Oryctolagus cuniculus: one gene and its partners. The protein of the gene in region 5 purifies or fractionates together with the protein of the main gene of each other region. This does not show direct contact. Links are inferred from orthologs where the notes say so. Each region holds a gene or a part of one and is shown on either strand. Other genes may lie near its edges.

What was found.
Region 1: the proteins of AKAP9 (region 5) and PRKAR2A purify together in Homo sapiens (affinity purification with western blotting; 3 studies listed by BioGRID, with this or other methods). This does not show direct contact. The link is inferred for Oryctolagus cuniculus from reciprocal best matches to the Homo sapiens genes AKAP9 and PRKAR2A.
Region 2: the proteins of AKAP9 (region 5) and CDK5RAP2 purify together in Homo sapiens (affinity purification with western blotting; 4 studies listed by BioGRID and IntAct, with this or other methods). This does not show direct contact. The link is inferred for Oryctolagus cuniculus from reciprocal best matches to the Homo sapiens genes AKAP9 and CDK5RAP2.
Region 3: the proteins of AKAP9 (region 5) and CSNK1D purify together in Homo sapiens (affinity purification with mass spectrometry; 4 studies listed by BioGRID and IntAct, counting the BioPlex papers as one, with this or other methods). This does not show direct contact. The link is inferred for Oryctolagus cuniculus from reciprocal best matches to the Homo sapiens genes AKAP9 and CSNK1D.
Region 4: the proteins of AKAP9 (region 5) and PRKACA purify together in Homo sapiens (affinity purification with mass spectrometry; 7 studies listed by BioGRID and IntAct, with this or other methods). This does not show direct contact. The link is inferred for Oryctolagus cuniculus from reciprocal best matches to the Homo sapiens genes AKAP9 and PRKACA.

What each region holds. Positions count from the first base shown.
Region 1 is NC_091441.1:100,345,447-100,348,959, reverse strand, and holds part of PRKAR2A (cAMP-dependent protein kinase type II-alpha regulatory subunit), read right to left. Parts: intron 429-3,513; coding exon 327-428; intron 166-326; coding exon 91-165; intron 1-90. UniProt on the Homo sapiens protein: Regulatory subunit of the cAMP-dependent protein kinases involved in cAMP signaling in cells. Type II regulatory chains mediate membrane association by binding to anchoring proteins, including the MAP2 kinase.
Region 2 is NC_091432.1:224,284,525-224,288,037, forward strand, and holds part of CDK5RAP2 (CDK5 regulatory subunit-associated protein 2), read right to left. Parts: intron 3,438-3,513; coding exon 3,311-3,437; intron 1-3,310. UniProt on the Homo sapiens protein: Potential regulator of CDK5 activity via its interaction with CDK5R1. Negative regulator of centriole disengagement (licensing) which maintains centriole engagement and cohesion. Involved in regulation of mitotic spindle orientation.
Region 3 is NC_091448.1:764,331-767,843, reverse strand, and holds part of CSNK1D (casein kinase I), read right to left. Parts: intron 3,407-3,513; coding exon 3,178-3,406; intron 2,862-3,177; coding exon 2,691-2,861; intron 1,597-2,690; coding exon 1,448-1,596; intron 1-1,447. UniProt on the Homo sapiens protein: Essential serine/threonine-protein kinase that regulates diverse cellular growth and survival processes including Wnt signaling, DNA repair and circadian rhythms. It can phosphorylate a large number of proteins.
Region 4 is NC_091447.1:62,981,606-62,985,622, reverse strand, and holds the start of PRKACA (cAMP-dependent protein kinase catalytic subunit alpha), read left to right. Parts: upstream 1-1,217; 5' UTR 1,218-1,358; coding exon 1,359-1,380; intron 1,381-4,017.
Region 5 is NC_091447.1:43,775,552-43,779,782, forward strand, and holds the start of AKAP9 (A-kinase anchor protein 9), read right to left. Parts: upstream 2,807-4,231; 5' UTR 2,721-2,806; coding exon 2,673-2,720; intron 1-2,672. UniProt on the Homo sapiens protein: Scaffolding protein that assembles several protein kinases and phosphatases on the centrosome and Golgi apparatus. Required to maintain the integrity of the Golgi apparatus. Required for microtubule nucleation at the cis-side of the Golgi apparatus.

The DNA of each region.
Region 1 (3,513 bases), on a different chromosome or scaffold from region 5:
GGAACTCACAGACATCTTAAGAGACAAAAGTGATGTGCTTGTTTTCAAGTGGTGACTTCAGGAAAGGAGCTGGGCAGGGCCTCTGCTTACCTGAGTGATTATGCGTTCTCCATCCTTATAGACCTTCTCTCCGATGACATCCACAATCTTCATTCGTTCCGATACCTGAAACAACAGACACACAAATCATAAGGAAAAGACCTTAACTGAAAGTTACACTACTTATACAACACAGAAATGGGCTAGAATAATATGATTTGAAAACTTAGTAACAGATAGCTTCTCTCTCCCCACCATAAAAAGACTCTTACTCAAATAGATTTTACCTCTAGTGATTTAAGGAGGGGCACAGACTCAATAAACGATTCAAACATCTTCCTTTTTTTTGCATTGTTTTTCACTATGATTCTTCTAAAAGTCACCCGGTCCTATAAGAAAGAAAATGAAAAATCTAGTAAATGCCTGTGTAAGACAATGTCCACGGTTTAGTTAACTGGGACACGTCAATTGTTAGATTATGTAAGTTATTGTGTCAACTGAGTGTTTAATGATACTTCAATTCCAGAGTAGTCAATGGAAGAAAAAGACTTGTAGCCTAAGCCAGACAAATGCCCGACACACTGCTGCTTGCTATCTAGTGTTCAATGGGTGCCACCTGTGGGTCACAAACAGACCACAAAACAAAGAATTCCCAATCAAACATTGGGGAGCTCACAGTCATTGTTTAAAATCAAAAGACAGCCGGCCGGCGCCGCGGCTCACTAGGCTAATCCTCTGCCTAGCGGCGCCGGCACACCAGGTTCTAGTCCCGGTTGGGGCGCCGGATTCTGTCCCGGTTGCCCGTCTTCCAGGCCAGCTCTCTGCTGTGGCCAGGGAGTGCAGTGGAGGATGGCCCAGGTGCTTGGGCCCTGCACCCCATGGGAGACCAGGATAAGCACCTGGCTCCTGGCTCCTGCCATCGGATCAGCGCGGTACGCCGGCCGCAGCGCACCGGCCGCGGCGGCCATTGGAGGGTGAACCAACGGCAAAAGGAAGACCTTTCTCTCTGTCTCTCTCTCTCACTGTCCACTCTGCCTGTCAAAAAAAAAAAAAAAAAAAAAAAGACAGCCTTCCAAAAAAAGGAAGGAATAAAAAACTAGATGGTTCTTGAGTACAAGGACTTCACCATCTTAATCATGAGACAACACAAAACACACAGGAATAAAGAGTCTACAGTTCAAGGCAGCATATGAAATACACTAGGTGAAGCTACAGAAGGCAAGCATCACAAGAATTTGAGATGGGAGGGAGATCACAGTAAGCAGGAATGATTGAAGACAGTTTTGTAGCAAAAATATAAATTTGGGATCTGAAGGATGAGTAGTTTTAAATTAATGAAAAGATAGGGGAGGATACTCAAAATGGAAGGCAGACATATAAAAGGTACCTTGACCCCAGTAAAGTCATGGATTCTGATTAGGAGACAGTAAATCAGAGCTACCTAGAGCCAGGCACTTTTCAGACACGTGTGAACATAGGTGGGGAGAGACACATGGACAGGAAAATGTTAACTGCTTAGTCTCAGGCTTCTAAATGGGTGAACAGTCATTTGGACCCAAGTTAGCTATTCCTTTTTCCTACACAGGCTGTCAAGAATGGAAAGTTTTCTTTTGGAAACTATAAAAATACCCTAAAGGCTGGAAAAGTAAAGCAGCAGCAAGGGAGTAAGGGCCTATTTCACTGTAGGTTCCTGATGCTGGAGCGGTTGTGGGGTAAAGACAGCACATAACAGACAACTGGGCGCAACATCTGAATGGACTTCACTGGCTCATTTTCTATCAGCTGTAGAATTCCCAGGTCCTATCCTGTGCCACGTTTCACCCACATAAACAGAGAAGTCACCTACACTCCTAGTGTGGGCAGTGGTAGAATCCTACTCTCCCTACTTACACGGCTGTACAAATAAGGTCTGCTTTCTGGTACTTAGGCAGATTCTGTCCCATTTTCCCCCAATATACTTGGAACGAGCCATTCAATCTCTAGTCGCTCTGTTGTGGCTGCATCATCTACCATGGATTTTCTGAAGTCGAGGATAAAGATGTATTATTTAAAATGTTACTTTTATACTTTGGAATATTGGCCAATCTAGGCCAGGAATGTTATGGAAAGAGAACAATTAAGACAGAAAATGAGAATTATAAAGCCCCTTTCCTTATGCTTGAATAGGCATGTCAAAAAATAATATTTATAAATCCATTTATAATGTTACAAATATTATAATAATTTCAATAGCAAGTTGCATTTCTATCTAAGGAGAAAAACAACAGATATCTCTTAAAAATTATTTGAAAAGCAGAGTGATAAAGAAGTAGAGAGAGGAGGGAAAAGATCTTCTGTCTGCTGGTGCAGTTACCAAATGCTTTCTAAGGCTGGGGCTTGACTCAGGATCTGGAACTCCATGCAAGTTTCCCATGTGGGTGGCAGGAACCCAAGTACTTGGGCCATCATTCGCTACCTTTCCAGGTAGCAGGAATCTGAATCAGAAGCAAAGTAGCTGGGACTCCAACAAGCACAATCCAACATGGAATGTCAGTGTCTGAAGAGGCAGCTTAAGTCACTGTACCACATAGCCAATCCCAGAGTATCCTGCAGATTTATCCATTCATTTTCCAATCCCTCCTATGCATGTTTTCACACACTTCCCAGAACTCTCTATTCATATCATGCAAGGCCAATTCTTGTAGCTATGGAAGGTTAAAAACAACAACAACAATAACAACAAAACAGCACCAGACACCAACTCAGCCTTTGGAGAGCTCCCAGTGGGGCACTGCAGGTGAACTTTCAGAGACAGCAGGTGCTCAGAGGCAAGCAAACCACCTGAAAGTTTGAAAAGAAAAGGAGTGCCACCCCCTCTTGTAACTACAAGCGTTCCTTAGGGAAGCTTCTACTGACCTCCACTCGAGCAGGAGCAGAAACTGACTAGTGCCCACAGTGGCAGCTATTCCCTGTCAAAGAAGGAATACAGGATCCAAGTGGAGAAACTCAGTGACAATACCCAGTCCACCTGGCCTTAGCTTCATTAGGCATTTCCAAGGTCTTCCCAGGCATGAGTGAAGAAGTCCGGCTGGAGAGGATCCTCTGGGAGCAACTTTTCTAGAAGTGGTACTCAAGCTTTGGGAGAGTCTGACATTGTGAAGCAAGTGAATGAAGCAGAACAAAAAGCAGAAGAGCATCCTGATGGGTTATTGGCCTTAATTAAGACAGCAGGGAGGGGCCGGTGCCGTGGCTCACTTGGTTAATCCTCTGCCTTGCAGCGCCAGCATCCCATATGGATGCCAGGTTCTAGTCCTGGTTGCTCCTCTTCCAGTCCAGCTCTCTGCTGTGGCCTGGGAGGGCAGTGGAGGATGGCTCAAGTGCTTGGGCTCCTGCAACCACATGGGAGACCAGGAAGAAGCTCCTGGCTCCTGGCTTCAGATCGGTGCAGTGCCGGCCATGGGGGCCATTTGGGAAGTGAACCAATGGAAGGAAGAC
Region 2 (3,513 bases), on a different chromosome or scaffold from region 5:
TCTAAGAACAGAACGTGGACTACTGCCAAGCACGGGTTCTCCTTAGCCGTCCCCAGGAAGCTTCCGACTCCGTGACACTGGCAGAGCCTCCGACACGTGCAGAGGCTCCGGCACAGAGGCTGGGGAGACGCTGTGGCACCGCAGGGAGACCCAAACACGAGCAAGCAGCCTGAGCGCTGGCCCAAGGCCCTGGGTCATGGGGGGGTCAAGACCTGCCGGGTCTCGAGGGATGAGCAGGAGTTAGTCAGAAAAAGTTAGTCTCCTACTCAGGCGGATGACCTCGTGGCCCCAAGGCCGCACTCCCAGAACAAGAAAGAACCAAACGTCTGCGGACATGCTTAGGACATACCAAGGCTTTTGCCTGAGTGAGAGCGGGAAGGAGGAGGGAGCAGGTGGCAAGGAGCCTCGTGGGCTGCCCTCAGGGAGCAGCAGCAGGGATGACCTGTGACAGGCATGTGCCAGGGTGGCTCACTGAAAACCCCACCCCCACCCTAACTTTGCAAGTAAGGATCTGAGGCTCAGAGGCAGAGTGAGTGACCTGCGGCAGGGTTCTCGGGTGTTCAAGGGACCCCCTTTCTTCACACTCCACTGGACTCTGGCAGGAGGTGGCGTGCCTGATGCAGACAGGGACTGGCCCTGGCCCTGGCCATTCCCTGCTACCCCGTGGGGAGCAAAGGGAGGCAACAAGGCCACCTTTTACTCAGTCACCTCAATTTTTAATTACTGTCCATTTTCATTTTATTTGAAAGGCGGCAAGAAAGAGAGAAACAGAGAGATCTATCTTCCATCTGCTGGTTCACTCCAAATGCTTGTAGCAGCCACAGCTGTGCTAGGCTGAAGCCAGGAGCCCAGAACTCCATTCAGGTACCCCATGCAGGTGGCAAGGACCTGGGTACTTGAGGCATCACCTATTGCCTCCCAGGGTGTGCAGGAGCAGGAAGCTGGATAGGAAGAGGAGCCAGGACTCAGAGCAGGCACTGGGATTCAGGATGTGAGTGTGCTAAGTGGCAACTTAAGCCACGGTGCCAAACACCTGCCCCTACTTGGTCACCTGAGAGCCAGCAACAGACCTGTGAGACTGGCAGGGTTCGGGGAAATTTCCAATGAGCCGCAGAGCCCAGCACAGGAGGAGGAGTTGCAGGCCCCAGTCAGCCACCAGGTGCGCACGCTGGGCCAGGCCACGCCCACTCTGTGCCAGACCTTGGTGGTACGAGCTAGGAGACCCCATTTTGGCAGGGGGAATGCTGCGAGAAGACCGTGACTTTCTTACAGGACTGATTTGCCACCACCACGCACAGGATTCAGCCTGGCGTAATGAACAGAAAGACGAAGACAACATTTGCTGGGCGTCGACTCCATCCTGAGGTCACGCCAGCACAGTGCGGCTTAGGCAGCATGTCACCCCTGGCTTGACAGACGAGGAAGGGAGGCACTTTTTCTAGAGCTGCGGTCAGAGCCCAGGCCACCTGGACAGTCTGAGTCGTCTGCAAGCTCCGAGTTCAAGCCATTCCATGTAGGTGACCCAGGGCACTGGAGAACCAGCTGTGCCCACGCATGAGTCTGTGCCCACTGCCCAGAACACCAGGGCCCGTGTTCGGCCCCCTTGAGCTGCCTCGGTAACTTGACCCGCGGGAAGCTAATTCTGCCTCCTTCTGAAACGTCCTCACCTGAAACGCGCCCTGTGCGTGTCCGAGGCTGCAGACGCGCAGGGGCAGAGGGTGCTGCTGTTCCCGGACTTGGCTGAGCAAAGCATCACTTCCTGGCCCTGCTGCTCACACAGTCCCGCTCAACATGACCTCCGCTGGCACTGTCCAGCCCCTCCACCTGGCTCCCTCCCACGCTACAGTTCTTCGAATGCACCAGTGGGCCAGGTCAGTCCCTGCTGCTGCTCCCTGAGGGCAGCCCATGAGGCTCCTGGTAACCTCCTCTCTGCCCCATCTCTCACTCAGGCAAAAGCCTCGGTATGTCCTAAGCATGTCCCCAAACGTTTGGTTCTCTCTCTCTCTCTCTCTTTTTTTTTTTTAAGATTTATTTATTTATTTGAAAGTCAGAGCTACACAGAGAGAGGAGAGGCAGAGAGAGGGGTCTTCCATCTGATGGTTCACTCCCCAGCTGGCCACAACAGCTGGAGCTACACAGATCCGATGCCAGGAACCAGGAGCTTCTTTCAGGTCTCCCAGACGGGTGCAGGAGCCCAAGGACTTGAACCATCTTCTACTGCTTTTCCAGGCCATAGCAGAGCTGGATCGGAAGAGGAGCAGCCGTACTCAAACTGGCTTCCATATGGGATGCCGGCGCTTCAGGCCAGGGCATTAACCTGCTGCCCCACAGCGCCGGCCCCGGCCCCGGTTCTCTCTTATTTTGGGGAGTACAGCCCTGGGGCCATGAGGTCATCCACCATGGCAGGAGACTAACTGTCTAACTCCTGCTCATCCCAGAAGGTTCCCGGGCTAAGGAGAAACTGCACTTGGCAACAGTCCACATTCTGTGCTTCTCAGAAGTGGTGCGGCAACACTGGCCTTTCAGGAGAGAGACATGCAGAGCACACCGGCCCCCCATATGGGAAGACACCATGGTCGGCCTTTCCCCTACCACAGGGAAACTGGCGTGCAGACGGCAGGAGGCCCAGCTGGGGCTGTGCTGCCCGCGGCCCCGATGGAAACCGCTCCTCTGAACACACATGGCCGGGGGAGATGAGTGCCGGGGCTTGAACCATGTGTGCAGGTGCCTGGCCTCCAACTCGAGTTTCTGCGTGGCCTGGAGAACATTTCTTGCATCCGCACCCCTGCCCTTGGGCCCCCACGCTCCTGGCCAAGGTCCTCCTCCTTCCCTGGCTGCCAGTGTGCCCGCCTCCTCTGCTCGGGGGCACCAGCCCCAGCAAACCTTTCTTGCACATGGATGTGACAGGCGGATCCTCTGCCCGACACACATCTGCCCTTAGCCGGCCACCTGAGGCCCTGCCCAGCGCAGCCCTGGCCTCCCACTCGGCTTCCACCTCTGTGATTGCCAGGCCCCTTCCACGTGGTGACGCCTGCTCATCCCTTCACGCTACACCCAGCCGTCACCTGGCCCACCCTCCCAGGGCACCTCCCAGGGCAGGGCAGCACCCACCCCACTCCCACCTCGGCACCCCTATAATCCCCCCAGCCTGAGCCCTCAGAGCCAAGCCGCCACACTATCTCCCCAGCATGGCAGCCCCTGGCCCTGAGGGCCCTTCTACATAGCGGGGTGGCATGAGCAGGCCTCTGTGCACGGGGCGGGATGGATGGGGTGTGAAACGCAACCCAGAGCCAGGGCGCACGCTGCTTACGCTGATCAAAGATCACTTTTTCCTGGTGCTTGCTCTGCTGCAGAAGCTTCAGGGTGCTTTGCAACCTCTTCTCTTGTTCAATCAGCTTCTTGTGCAGCTTGGAGATCTCGGCCTTCATTTCTCCCATCTAAAGAGAAGAGAAGAATCAGGAAAACGGACTGCAAGTGCCACAGTCCTATTACTCAGCAAGAATTACAGAAATG
Region 3 (3,513 bases), on a different chromosome or scaffold from region 5:
CTGGGACTCCAGCCCCAGGGCAGGATGCCTGCCTGCCCGCCCAGTGGTCTCCAGCCACACCACTGGCCCTGCTGCCTTCTGAAGAGGCAAAAAACTGTACTCTTCCACTAGATTCTTTTTTTTTTTTTTTTTTTTTTGACAGGCAGAGTGGACAGTGAGAGAGAGAGAGAGAGAGAAAGGTCTTCCTTTGCCGTTGGTTCACCCTCCAATGGCCGCCACGGCTGGCGCGCTGCGGCCGGCGCACCGCGCTGATCCGATGGCAGGAGCCAGGTGCTTCTCCTGGGCTCCCATGGGGTGCAGGGCCCAAGCACTTGGGCCATCCTCCACTGCACTCCCGGGCCACAGCAGAGAGCTGGCCTGGAAGAGGGGCAACCTGGACAGAATCCGGCACCCCGACTGGGACTAGAACCCGGTGTGCTGGCGCCGCAAGGCGGAGGATTAGCCTAGTGAGCCACGGTGCCAGCTCTCCTCCACTAGATCCTGTCAACTGCTAAGGTGCTGAGTTGAGTGACAGCTGGGCGGGACAATCTTCAGTGGAAGAAGGCACCAGAGCTGGACCAAAGCGGCCAGCATCAGCAGCAACCGCAGCCAAGTGGGAACGGCTGCCTGCCCTCGGTCTGCAGGGCAGAGTGGGGAGAGCTTCAGAGAGAGACGGCGACATTGGTTCACTCCCCAGACGGCTGCAAAGGCTGGGGATGGTCCAGGTTAAAGCCAGGAGACAGAACTCCATGGTGGTCTCCCACATGGGTAGCAGGGGCCCAGGTTTTTGGGTTTGGGCCATCATCTGCTGACTTCCCGGGCACATCAGCAGGGAGCTGGGTATCAGAACTGGGGCTTCGACGGGACGCTGGTGCTGCAGGCGGCAGCTCAGCTCACTGCACCCCAGCACTGGCCGGGCACAGCCATGGCGTCTCATGCACACATCACGAACTGTGGTGAGAAGGATACCTAACGTGAGATGGGCTCACCACAGGGCCAAATCCAGACAGCAGGTGCGCTCCTCACAGCACGGGGGTCCCCACAGCCCCCACGGCACTGGGCCCTCTGGCTCCCTGCAGCCCCGGGTGACGCTGGGTGAGGGCACCGCAGGCAGCCCCACGGAGCTCTGAGAACTGGTGCTGGCCACTCCAACCCCAGAAACCTGCACGTGCCAACTCCCAGGAGCTGCGGCTGCAGGCAGACCTCTCGGCCACTCCAGGACCTGCTGCCCGCGTCACATGGTCTCAGGGGAGCCTGGCTCTCCTCGACGGCACACACCCGCATCAGCCCAGGGCCCACAAGGGATACCGGGCTTCCCCAATTTGGCAAACATGCCCTAAAAACCCAAGCCCTCGACGGCACAGTCGCCTGCACACGATGTGGCCCTGGACGAGGGCCGCCAGCTTCCCACCGATGGGCAGTTCCCGTCATGCCTCGAGAAGGCAGAGCTGGCGGCGGCAGCACTTACAAATTTGAGCATGTTCCAGTCGAACACGTAGTCGTAGGAGAAGCCCTGGCGATGGAACAGGTTTCGGAAGAGCTGTCTCAGGTACGAGTAGTCGGGCTTGTCGTCAAAGCGCAGGGAACGGCAGAAATTCAGGTACGTGGCGAATTCAGCTGAAAGACAAGCAGCACAAAGCTAAGCGAAATGCCCACCTGTCAATACCACTGCTCACCCCTGTGGCCACACACCCAGGGAGTGTGCCGCCTCTTGCTTTATTCGGGGTTGGCACTGTGGCACAGTGCGCTGAAGCCTCCGCATGCGGCAGCGGTATCCCACCCAGCCGGGTACTGGTTGAGTCCCGGCTGCTCCACTTCGGATCCAGCTCTCTGGGATGGCCTGGGAAAGCAGTGGACTCTCTCTGCACCCACATGGGAGACCTGGAAGAAGCTCCTGGCTCCAGCTATTGTGGCCATCTGGGGAGTGAACCAGCAGATGGAAGAACCTGTCTATAACTCTACCTCTTAGATAAATATTTAAAAAATTATTTACTTAAAAGACAGAGAAACACACACACACACACACACACACACACACACACACGAGGGAGGGAGAAAGAGAAAGAGATTTTCCATCTGCTTGTTCACTCCCCAAATGGTCACAATGGCTAGGGCTGGCCCAAGCTGAAGCTGGGAGCCAGGAGCTTCTTCCGGGTCTCCCATGTGGGTACAGGGGCCCAAGCACGTCAGACGAACTCCACTCCTTTCCTAGCACATCAGCAGGGAGCTGGATCAGAGCAGAGCAGTCGGGTCTTGAACGAGTGCCCACGTGGTCTGCTGGGGTAGCAGGCGGCAGCTTTACCCGCTATGCCACAGCGCCGGCCCTGCAAGTGTGCATTTTAAAACCAGCCACATTTTGAAGAATCTAGGCCTCGGGAAAGTGTTTTTAAAATATTCAACATCACATAGCAAACTTAATTTTACCCAGGGAAGTCTTAGAACACAGGAAAACTCAGTGATTACGAACCCAGACACTGAGGTTGGCTATAGGCTGTGGTCAGCCCACAAGGCAGGTACAGCCACCACTCACTCTCCACCTCCCAACGTCCGAGACATTTCGCAAGGTCAGCCGGGCCTTGCCTCCACCTCCTCTGGGCTGACGGAGCTCCCACCAGAGACACTCGGGATGCATCAAACAAGAGGCCACCGTGACCTCCACACACACAGCGGCCCCTCTGCCGCCACGCCTGCTGCGGAATGAGGACACTCACAGGGGTAGCCTTTGCACAGCACTTCGATGGGGGTGGACATCTTCTTCTCGCTGATCCGTTCGTACTTCTGTCTCTTGGTGGCAGCCTTCAGCCCCTGCCAGGGCAGAGAGCCCAAGTTGAAGTACATGAGCACGTAGCCCAGGGACTCCAAGTCATCCCTTCGAGATTGCTCTGCAAAGAAAAGGAACGGCGTGAGGGCTGGCGGCCGTGTGCTCGCACAGAGGCAACACTCGCCCCCTCAGTGGCGGAAGGTGCTCCCAGGCGCCACTGAGGACCGCCCCAGCCCCAGCCCAGAGGGGGCAACATCCTGGCACCGCCCTGCCTCCTGCCGGACAACCAGGCTTCAACTGCTGCTGCAGCCAGACTGTCTGCTACAAAGGCCTGATCAGGGCCCCGGCAACAGACACGCTCACAAGCCTGGGCGCCCGAGATGCGCGATGCACACACCCACAGCTAGCTAAGCCAGCACCCCGCGGGCGGGGCTCACCAATTCCGAGGTGCGTGTTGATGGAGGCGTACCGCGCGGTCCCTGTGAGGTTCTTGTTCTCACGGTAGGGGATGTGCTGGTGCGTCCTTGCGTCCCGGTACTTCTTGGCCAGCCCAAAGTCGATGATGTAGACCAGGTTGCCTTTCTTCCCCAGCCCCATGAGGAAGTTGTCTGGCTTCACATCTCGGTGGATGAAGTTCTTCGAATGGATGTACTCAATGCGGCTGATCTGCGGCGACACGAGCACCAGCACGCGGTGAAATCCCAGAGCCGCAGCCTCACGGAGCAGCCAGGCGGCAGTGAAGCCCGAGCCCGTGCCGGCACGCTCCCAACAAC
Region 4 (4,017 bases), about 19 Mb from region 5:
ATGATCCCAGAGCTGCTGTTTGTAGGGGATCCAGAATGTCCCCCTGCCAAGTAGGTCTCCGTGGACACATCTGTCTGCGCTGGTGATTTCTGTAAGGGGCTCTTATCGGCGCTCTCCAAGTAAGCTGTCTCTGAGTGGGACACAGGCGGAGGCAGGATTCCGATCCAGACCCGTCCCTGGCCGCCGGGAGCTGGGAGCTGAGAGCCTCCCAGCTCGGACATTCTTGAAGCTGCCTCTCGGGCTCCTGCTCTCTCTCGGCCTGTGTTTTCTTAATTAAAGTAATGGAGGTTGAATTCCCCATGTCCGTTCAGGGGGGAGCAGTCCTAGGAATGCAACCCAGCGCTAGGCTGCGCCCCTCTGTCATCGCTGGTCCGCATTAAGATGCAGGGTGGATACAACGTAACTAGCTAAGGGACTGGGAACTCGATCCTTGCTCTGCTGATGGGAAGGTGCCCTCCTGAGGCTGGGAGAGAAGGAGCCAGGCTGGGAAAAGGAAGCCCCTCTCTGCCTCACAGCCCTTGAAAGGATGGAGTCCGAGGGCAATTACCCTCTTAGACCAGGGTGGGCCGGGGGCCAGGGCAGTAGCCAGCCCAGCCTGCAGGGGGCACCTGCATTTCATGTTGCCAGATCCCAGCCTGCGGGGGACTGGCCAAGCATCCTAAAGCCCAGGAGCTGGGGTGGGGTGGAGATGGGAAGATTGGCACCCAAAGGTGGCAAAGCCACCGACAAGGGGCTTAGTGGGGGTTGGCGAGGAGCTAAAAGAGCAAAGGGAAAAAAAATGAAGGCTCATGGCCAGGCTGGAGGAACCGAGAGAGGGCAGTGGCCCCAGGGGGCCCCAGGGGGCAGACAGCCAAGTGGAGCTCAGGTCTGAGCTGGCACTGGCTGGAGACACCCCCACCCCCACCCCGGGGAGCCGGGTCACAGGGACATGGCCCGAGTGGTGGGAGGGAGCCCCCCAGAGGCCCCTTGGTGGGGACACCAAGCCCCAGAGACAAGCCCACCCAGGTGCGTCCTGCAGGTTCCTGGGTGGGATGAACTGGTGTCTTCCGACTTCCTACAGAAGCCCAAGAGGGTCAAACGCCTCTGCCCATTGGCAGTTGTATGGGTGCCCGAGAGGGTCCTGCCAAGACAGCTTTGCTCTTAGCCCAAGGCAGCCAGCAGCAGCTTGGGAGGTCCCAGCCAGCTCTCCCCTGCACCTGCCCTCCTCTCACCGGCCTTCCCGTCCCCATTCCCGCCCCCCAACTCCCCGGCTCCCCCTGCAGGCCGGGCCGTGGGGTGGGCCGCCAGGCTGGGGCGGCGAGGTCTCGTGAGCCTTCCCAGCCACCGTAGCTCGGATGCCCTGTGAGGAAGACTGAGTGATGGCTTCCAACTCCAGTGATGGTGAGGCTGAGCCCTGTTGCTATAGCAACTCCCTGGGCACTCTCTGCCCCTCAAGTCAGGGAGGGGGCTGCAGCAGGGTTTGGGGGCGCAGGAAGGGAGGAGGAGGCTGTGGGGGGCCTGGGGACGAGGAAGACAGATAGGGGGGAGCCGGGGGTGTGCGCCCAGCGATGGGAGGGGAGTGCAGCCCAGTGTGGGGGATCCAGGCCAGGCCAGAGTACTGGCCCCCGCCCAGGCTGGGCAGTTCCACCCCAGGACCGCCAGGTTTCAGAGTGCCTAGAGGGTCTCGGGTTATTGTCCGGGAATGGGGAGTCCAGGGAGCCCCCCCCAGCCCCTTGCCCAGCTGGACACACAACCCTTGCAACCCTACATCCGCAGGATGGAGTTCTAGATTTCGGCCGTGGCTTTGTCAGGGGTCCTCTGGGGTTGTCCCTGGGACCCCAAATCAAAACCCGGCGGGATTGGGACGTCTGGTGCCATGGCCCTCTAGGAGCTAGGTGACAGAGTGGGGGAAGCGGGGGGACTTCCTGTCACCAGCAGGGTGCCCCCACCAACTCCGGGTGTTGGGTGCTCTGGGAGAGGCTGCCGCTGCCCCTCCTTCCGCTTCTCTCCGGGATCTGGGAAGAAGGAGGGAGATGGCCAAGCGGCCTCCCCCTCCCCCGCTCCCCCGGGTTGAGCCGTCCGTTTCCGGTTTGGACTTTTCATGGCCCAGAGCGGAGCCAAGCACACAGGGCAAGGTTTGACAGAGGCCAAGGGCATGCAGGATGTCGATCCCCTCCCCGCCCCCACATGGGAGCGGGACAGGGAGCCACACGCACCCGTTTCTGTCTCAGGGGTGGCAGGATTGGGTGGGGGAGCCCCGGGGTGTCTGGTCTCCCTGGCCCTCCACGCCCTCCCTACCCCCTCCCCGCCCAGCCTTTCCCTCCAGCTGTTCTTCCAGCTAATTAACAGGGCGCTCCTCAGCCCCCTGGGGCCCTCTGGCTGCTGCCTGGGCCTTAACTCCTTCACCTCTGCGCAGTGGGCACTGCCCCAGGCCCCGGGGGGACGGGGAGGGGGCAGCCAGGCACCCAGTGAGGAAGGCAGGGCCTGACAGCCAGAGTCAAGTCCCTGGAAGGGGAAGTTGGCCTTGGCGCCCCGCCCCCGGGCAGAGGGACACCCCCGGGAGTCCGCGCCTCCGCCTCCTGCCAGGGAAAGCCTCTGTGGACCCTGGCAGCCAGGAGCAGGTGCAGGCACCTTTTTAACTGCTTCCGTGGCAACCGGCTCCTCCTCCCTTCCCCCCTACCCCCCGGGGGGCTGGGCGGCTCCTGTGCTGGGTGAGGAGAGAGCCCAGGCCAGCGGGATGCTGGGATGGAGCCGGGGTCCTGCCGGAGCCAGGGTGCGGACTCGGAGACCACTTTCCAGCTGTGGCTCCAGCTGCTCCTCTGGGCCCACCTGGCCGCCCGGCTCCTGAGCTACCTGCGCCACACCTTCCAGCGAGCCTGACCTGAGCCCCCCAGCCCAGACCACCCAACCCCACCCACTCCCCCGGTTCTCCCCTCTGCTGGAAGACACAAGAAGCAGAGGTGAGTGGTGGGGGTGGGGTGGGGGCGGGGTCTGCAGGCTGAGGTCCCCTCCCCCAGTACCGCCCTTAGCTGCCTGCCCCCAGCCCCAGCAGAGGGGACGTGACCTGGGCTCCTCGTGCACCTTGGGAGGCCAGCGGAGGGCTGTGCTAGGGACTCTGCCCCACCCGGGGAGGGGGCTCAGTGGGCGCCAATGAAGAAGGAAACAGGACCAGGCCCCCCGCTGCCTTCCTGTGTGGGTCAGGGCCCCGCCCCTCCCCCCGCCACCCAATCCAGAGTTCTGTGGGAGGAAAGGTGCCTGTGTGGGTGGGTGTGTGTGCACATGTGGGAGCAAACCGTCTCCAGTAGACCCCATGCCCAGAGCGGTCTCTCGGCCAGCTGGTGGCCCAGCCAGGCGCCAGCTTGGGACGGCTGTCCCCTCTGGGCCCAGCTCTGCCAGCAGCCTTGGGGACAGTGGGGGCGTGGTGCCAGTGACGGGCAGGAGCACGGTGGGGCAGGGGGTGGGGGCCGTGTGTGCTCCGCGTGGCTGTTTTCATCGAAGCATCTGGGGCCTGGGGACAGTTCTGTCCTGGTCCACCCCAGTGCACGTGACCAGCGGTGAAGCCGATGGCCGGGACGGCAGTAAAAACGGCTCACGTCATAGCAGTGGGGGAGGGCTTGCAGGCAAATGATCAGTCTTCCGATCTGTACAATGGCTGGGATGGAGCCTGCCGGGCTGGGGCTGACGCTTAGAAAACACCACGTGCAGGGCGGGCTTGGCGCCTGTAGGGTGTTGTTCGGGGGTGCGTGTGTCTTGTCCATGTTCATCCAACTGCCTGGTTAAGCTCTGGACACCTACCGCCGAGTCTGCTGTCTCAACCGAAAAGAATGCTGCAAAAAAATTAATAGGGAACATTTGTGTCCCACGCCAGCCACCGTCCAACCCCCCTTTGCCAAAGTGAGCTCCTGCCATCCACACAGCTTCGCTGCCTGTATGGTTAGGTCGCTGTCATTATCATCCCCATTGTATAGATGAGGAAAACTGAGGCCCCCTCCCCCAACAGAGGCGCGGTCAGTTGTGCCCAGTGCGTCAGAGAGCACG
Region 5 (4,231 bases):
GATGGCTGCCAACTACCAGAGCTGTGCCGATCTGAAGCCAGGAGCCAGGAGCTTCTTCCACGTCTCCCATGAAGGTGCAGGAGCTCAAGGACTTGGGCCAACTTCTTCTGCCTTCCCAGGCCATAGCAGAGAGCTGGATAGGAAGTGAAACAGCCAGGACCCAAACCTGTGCCCGTATGGGATGTCGTTAGGGCAGGCAGCGACTTTACCCACTATGCCACAGCGCTGGCCCCTATTGTTACTAAACTATAACCATACTAGTAAAGCTGCACCCATTAACAACTCATTAGTCATTCTGCTCTTCATTTATTTAGCATTCACTGATAGGTATCATTCTAGGGTACACTGTGATCTAACTTGAAAAAAGATTGTCACCACCTCTATATCTCCAGCCCCTGGCATAACATGGGAGTTCAAGATGGCTTGTGCTGAATGACTACATTTAGAACCCAATGTTTTGGGCCGGCGCCGTGGCTCACTAGGCTAATCCTCCACCTTGCGGCGCTGGCACACCGGGTTCTAGTCCCGGTCGGGGCACCGGATTCTGTCCCGGTTGACCCTCTTCCAGGCCAGTTCTCTGCTGTGGCCAGGGAGTGCAGTGGAGGATGGCCCAAGTGCTTGGGCCCTGCACCCCATGGGAGACCAGGATAAGTACCTGGCTCCTGCCTTCGGATAGGCGCAGTGCGCCGGCCGCAGCACGCCGGCTGTGGCGGCCATTGGAGGGTGAACCAACGGCAAAGGAAGACCTTTCTCTCCGTCTCTCTCTCACTGTCCACTCTGCCTGTCAAAAAAAAAAAAAAAAAAAAAAAAGAACCCAATGTTTTTCAGTCCTAACTAAAACACATGCTTATATAGAGAGGAAATAATTTATAGACTATTTTTGATGATGCCATTTTCATTCTATCTTCCATGCTGTTAGTCTTCATAACGTTAATGGCTGCATACTATTCCATTGCATTTATACATCTTAGAAAGCCAGTCTCTTCATATCATCTCTCAAGACTTATTTCGGTATTTTTATTGCAGAGCTAATGTGGCCCCAAACATATCCTGCCTTATACGTTTCACAGATTTCTCACTGGGAAAAGCAGGCTTAACTCCAGAAGAAGATAAACTTCTGAAATACAAGTTAACCTATTAACATTACTCCATTGGTAGAATTTTGAAACACACACACACACACACACCGCTAGAGCATACAGAACTCCATTTTGCCAAATCAACTACTTACAACTATTTAATTAAATCCTCTATCATGATATATGTCTGTCCAAAGTAAATCACCTTTCATGGGACTGCTTCACATGTTTTTAGGAAAGACATTTTTGGGGGCAAGCAGTAAAAATTCCCAAGCCAGACAGATTAGAACTTCAGTGCTTCTGGAAGCCAGCACACAGCTAACCTCCCTCAAGGGACACACGGGGTTTGTGTAATGTAAGCAATTTGGGGGCTCTGGAAGGTGCCCTGTTCCCCTTCCCTCCATGTACAGATTCTAAAAGTCCACCTGGCTACCTGTGAGCCTGGACCTCGGGCGGAGGGAGCTTCCTGCAAAGCCCACTGCATTGCTACGTTACACACGCAGGCAGACACACCTGGGATGAGCACTCTCCTGCTGCACCTCTGCAGGTGGCCCTTCCCGGAGGACTGCAGCCAGGGCCCCGGTTTCCTTTGTTTATGTGGGGGGAGGGGAGGGAAGGCGGAGAGGAGAAACAGTTAACTACACTACCATTTAACCGCAGTCCAAGTATGATTGCTGACAATTACCTCTACAGAGATTAGCAGATAACCTACAAAAGGTCATTTCGTTGTAAAGAAGAAGGGGTCCTTTGGGGCCAACCAGAAGACACGTCTAACACGCAATGTTTAAAAGAAATAGGTTATTCAAATGTATCTCGTGTCAAGTTTTTCATGAAGCCCAAGGAATGACACCTGTGTATGATTTTGTATTGTTTGCTTTACAGGCTTTTTCGTGCGCGCGCGCACACACACGAAACAGCGGCTCACCGGAGCTACACAGAGGACAACGACATTACTCAAAGCAGGAATTCTGTAGGTGTCACTTGGAACACAGAACCTCTGGGTTCCCAGAAGTTCCATGCAGACAGCCTCGGTGCCGCGACAAAGACCTCCGCAGACAGACATACAAAGGCACGCTTCTGTCAACGCCCCTGCAGCCAAGTTCACAGCTGGCACTTGTGGCACACTCGAGCCACTGCCGAGGCAGCTGTCACAGGCCAATCACACACGCCCCGGAGTGCCAGCGTGCCAGAGAGGCGGGCGAGCCGCCGGCCGCGCGCCAATCCCCCCCAAATAAAGGAGAAGCCCTGAATCTCCTCGCTGGGCAGCACAACGCCTGCACCGCCCAGAACACCCCCTGAAGAAAGTGAAAGGCTGAGATTCGGGAGCAATTAAACACCAGCTGACGGCAGCCCTGGGCATTTACGAGAAAGCAGCCACGCCGTTCACTCAGCACCCAAGTATCGGCGGCGAGGAGGGGGCGCCGGGCTTCGCCCCTACTGGAACAAGGGGCGAGGGGGAAACGCGGGGCCGCGGCACCTCGCTCCCCGCCAGCCAGCGCGCGCCGGCCGCCGCCAGCTCCGCTCCCAGGCCCCCTCCCACCCTGCCCAGCCGCCGCCTCCCTCCCCGGGCCCGGCTGCCTCCGCCTCTCCTACCTTCGCTTTGCCGGCCTCCAGCTTCTTCTGTCGCTCCTCGTCCTCCATGGCCTCTGCGGGAAGGCGGCGGAGCAGCGGGCGGGGTTTGGGGGAGACAGGAAAGGTCGGTTCAGGCGGAGGTGGGGCGGCGAGCTCCGCGGCCCAGCGAGCAGGCCCGGCGCGGCGCGGCCCCGCCCGGAGCGCGAGCAGCCTCCGCGCTCACTGGCGGCTCGTCCCGGGCCGCACGGCCAGCGCCGTCACCGCCGCCGCCATCTTCGTCTCCACGTAAACACTCGGCGGGCGTCGTGGGGGGGGGGGGACGTCGGTCCGCGCAGCCGCCGCGCCGGGCAGGTGCGCCGCGGCCCCGCCCCCGCCCGCGCCGTCCTCCCGCGGCCCGGCGGCTCCCGGCGGCTCCCGGCGGCGGCGGGGCTGAGGCGGGAGCGGTGTCCAGGGCCGCCCGCCCGCCGGCCAGCAGTGCCGCCACGGTGCGCGGGACTCGGCGCTCTTCAAACAGAGCGGTTTTTCCAATCACGAAGCCATCAGATATGAAGGACCTCTGAGCAGCCACAGTGGCCAGCAGGCGGGAGAGACTTGCCGGACCCCGGCTTTTCAACCTAGGTGGACTCCTCCACGCCAGAAACCGGGAGAGCGGCGACTGCGGCGGTGACTTCCCTGGCCTCGCAGTCCCGCCCCCTGGCCCACGCCGGTTCCCGCCCAGGCTGCCGGGTCCTCCGAGGCCCACCTCGCACGCCTCCGCCTGCACGCACACGGCTCCTGTCTTTGTTCGCCCCCCGCCCCCGGGAGGGCTCCTGCTGAACCTGCACTCCCATCCAGCCTCGCTGGGGCCTCTGGCAGCGGTGCTCTCGGGGACCCAGCCCGGGCGCACCACCTGACACGACACACGTTACCTGTCCTGGGATTGGGGAAGGGTGGTCATCTTTGTGACTGCCCCTGGCCTACCGAATCGCCCCGAATTAATGTCGGTTGCCGTTTTTCTCGAATTTCCTTGATGTCCTCTGCACGCGTTTTGTTGGCTTGCGTGCTTCTTAGGTCACCTGATATTCCTGGCTCCTTGGAGGCACGGACCCCCTCATGGATCCTGCTCACCGTGGCATTAATAAACGACTAGCACAGGGCTTTGCTCCGAATAAATACTGCTGGGTTGACTGGTCACGTCTATAAATTGATCATTACTCTTCCGTTTCTTCCACTCACCTGGCCCCGCAATCCTCCTCCTGCCCCCTTCACCACCCTCCCATTCGCCAACCCTCCGTTCCTAGAGTGAATACAAATGATCCTGTCTTAGGTTGAATACTGATGTTGAGTTCCCCTCTCCTTTGTTGAGTGAGGTTGGGCTGAGAAACTGTCAGGAGTGGAAACAAGCTGCGAGTTCAACGTATTGGTGATATTCAGTGAAACTTGGGGTTAAAAAAGGAAAAGGTGGGAGGGGGGTGCTCTGGCATACCAGGTTAAGCCCCCACCTGGCGCTGGTTCCAGTCCTAGCTGCTGCTCTTCTGTTCCAGTTCCCTGCTAAGGGCCTAGCAAAGCAGAGGAAGATGTCCCAAGTGCTTGGGTCCCTT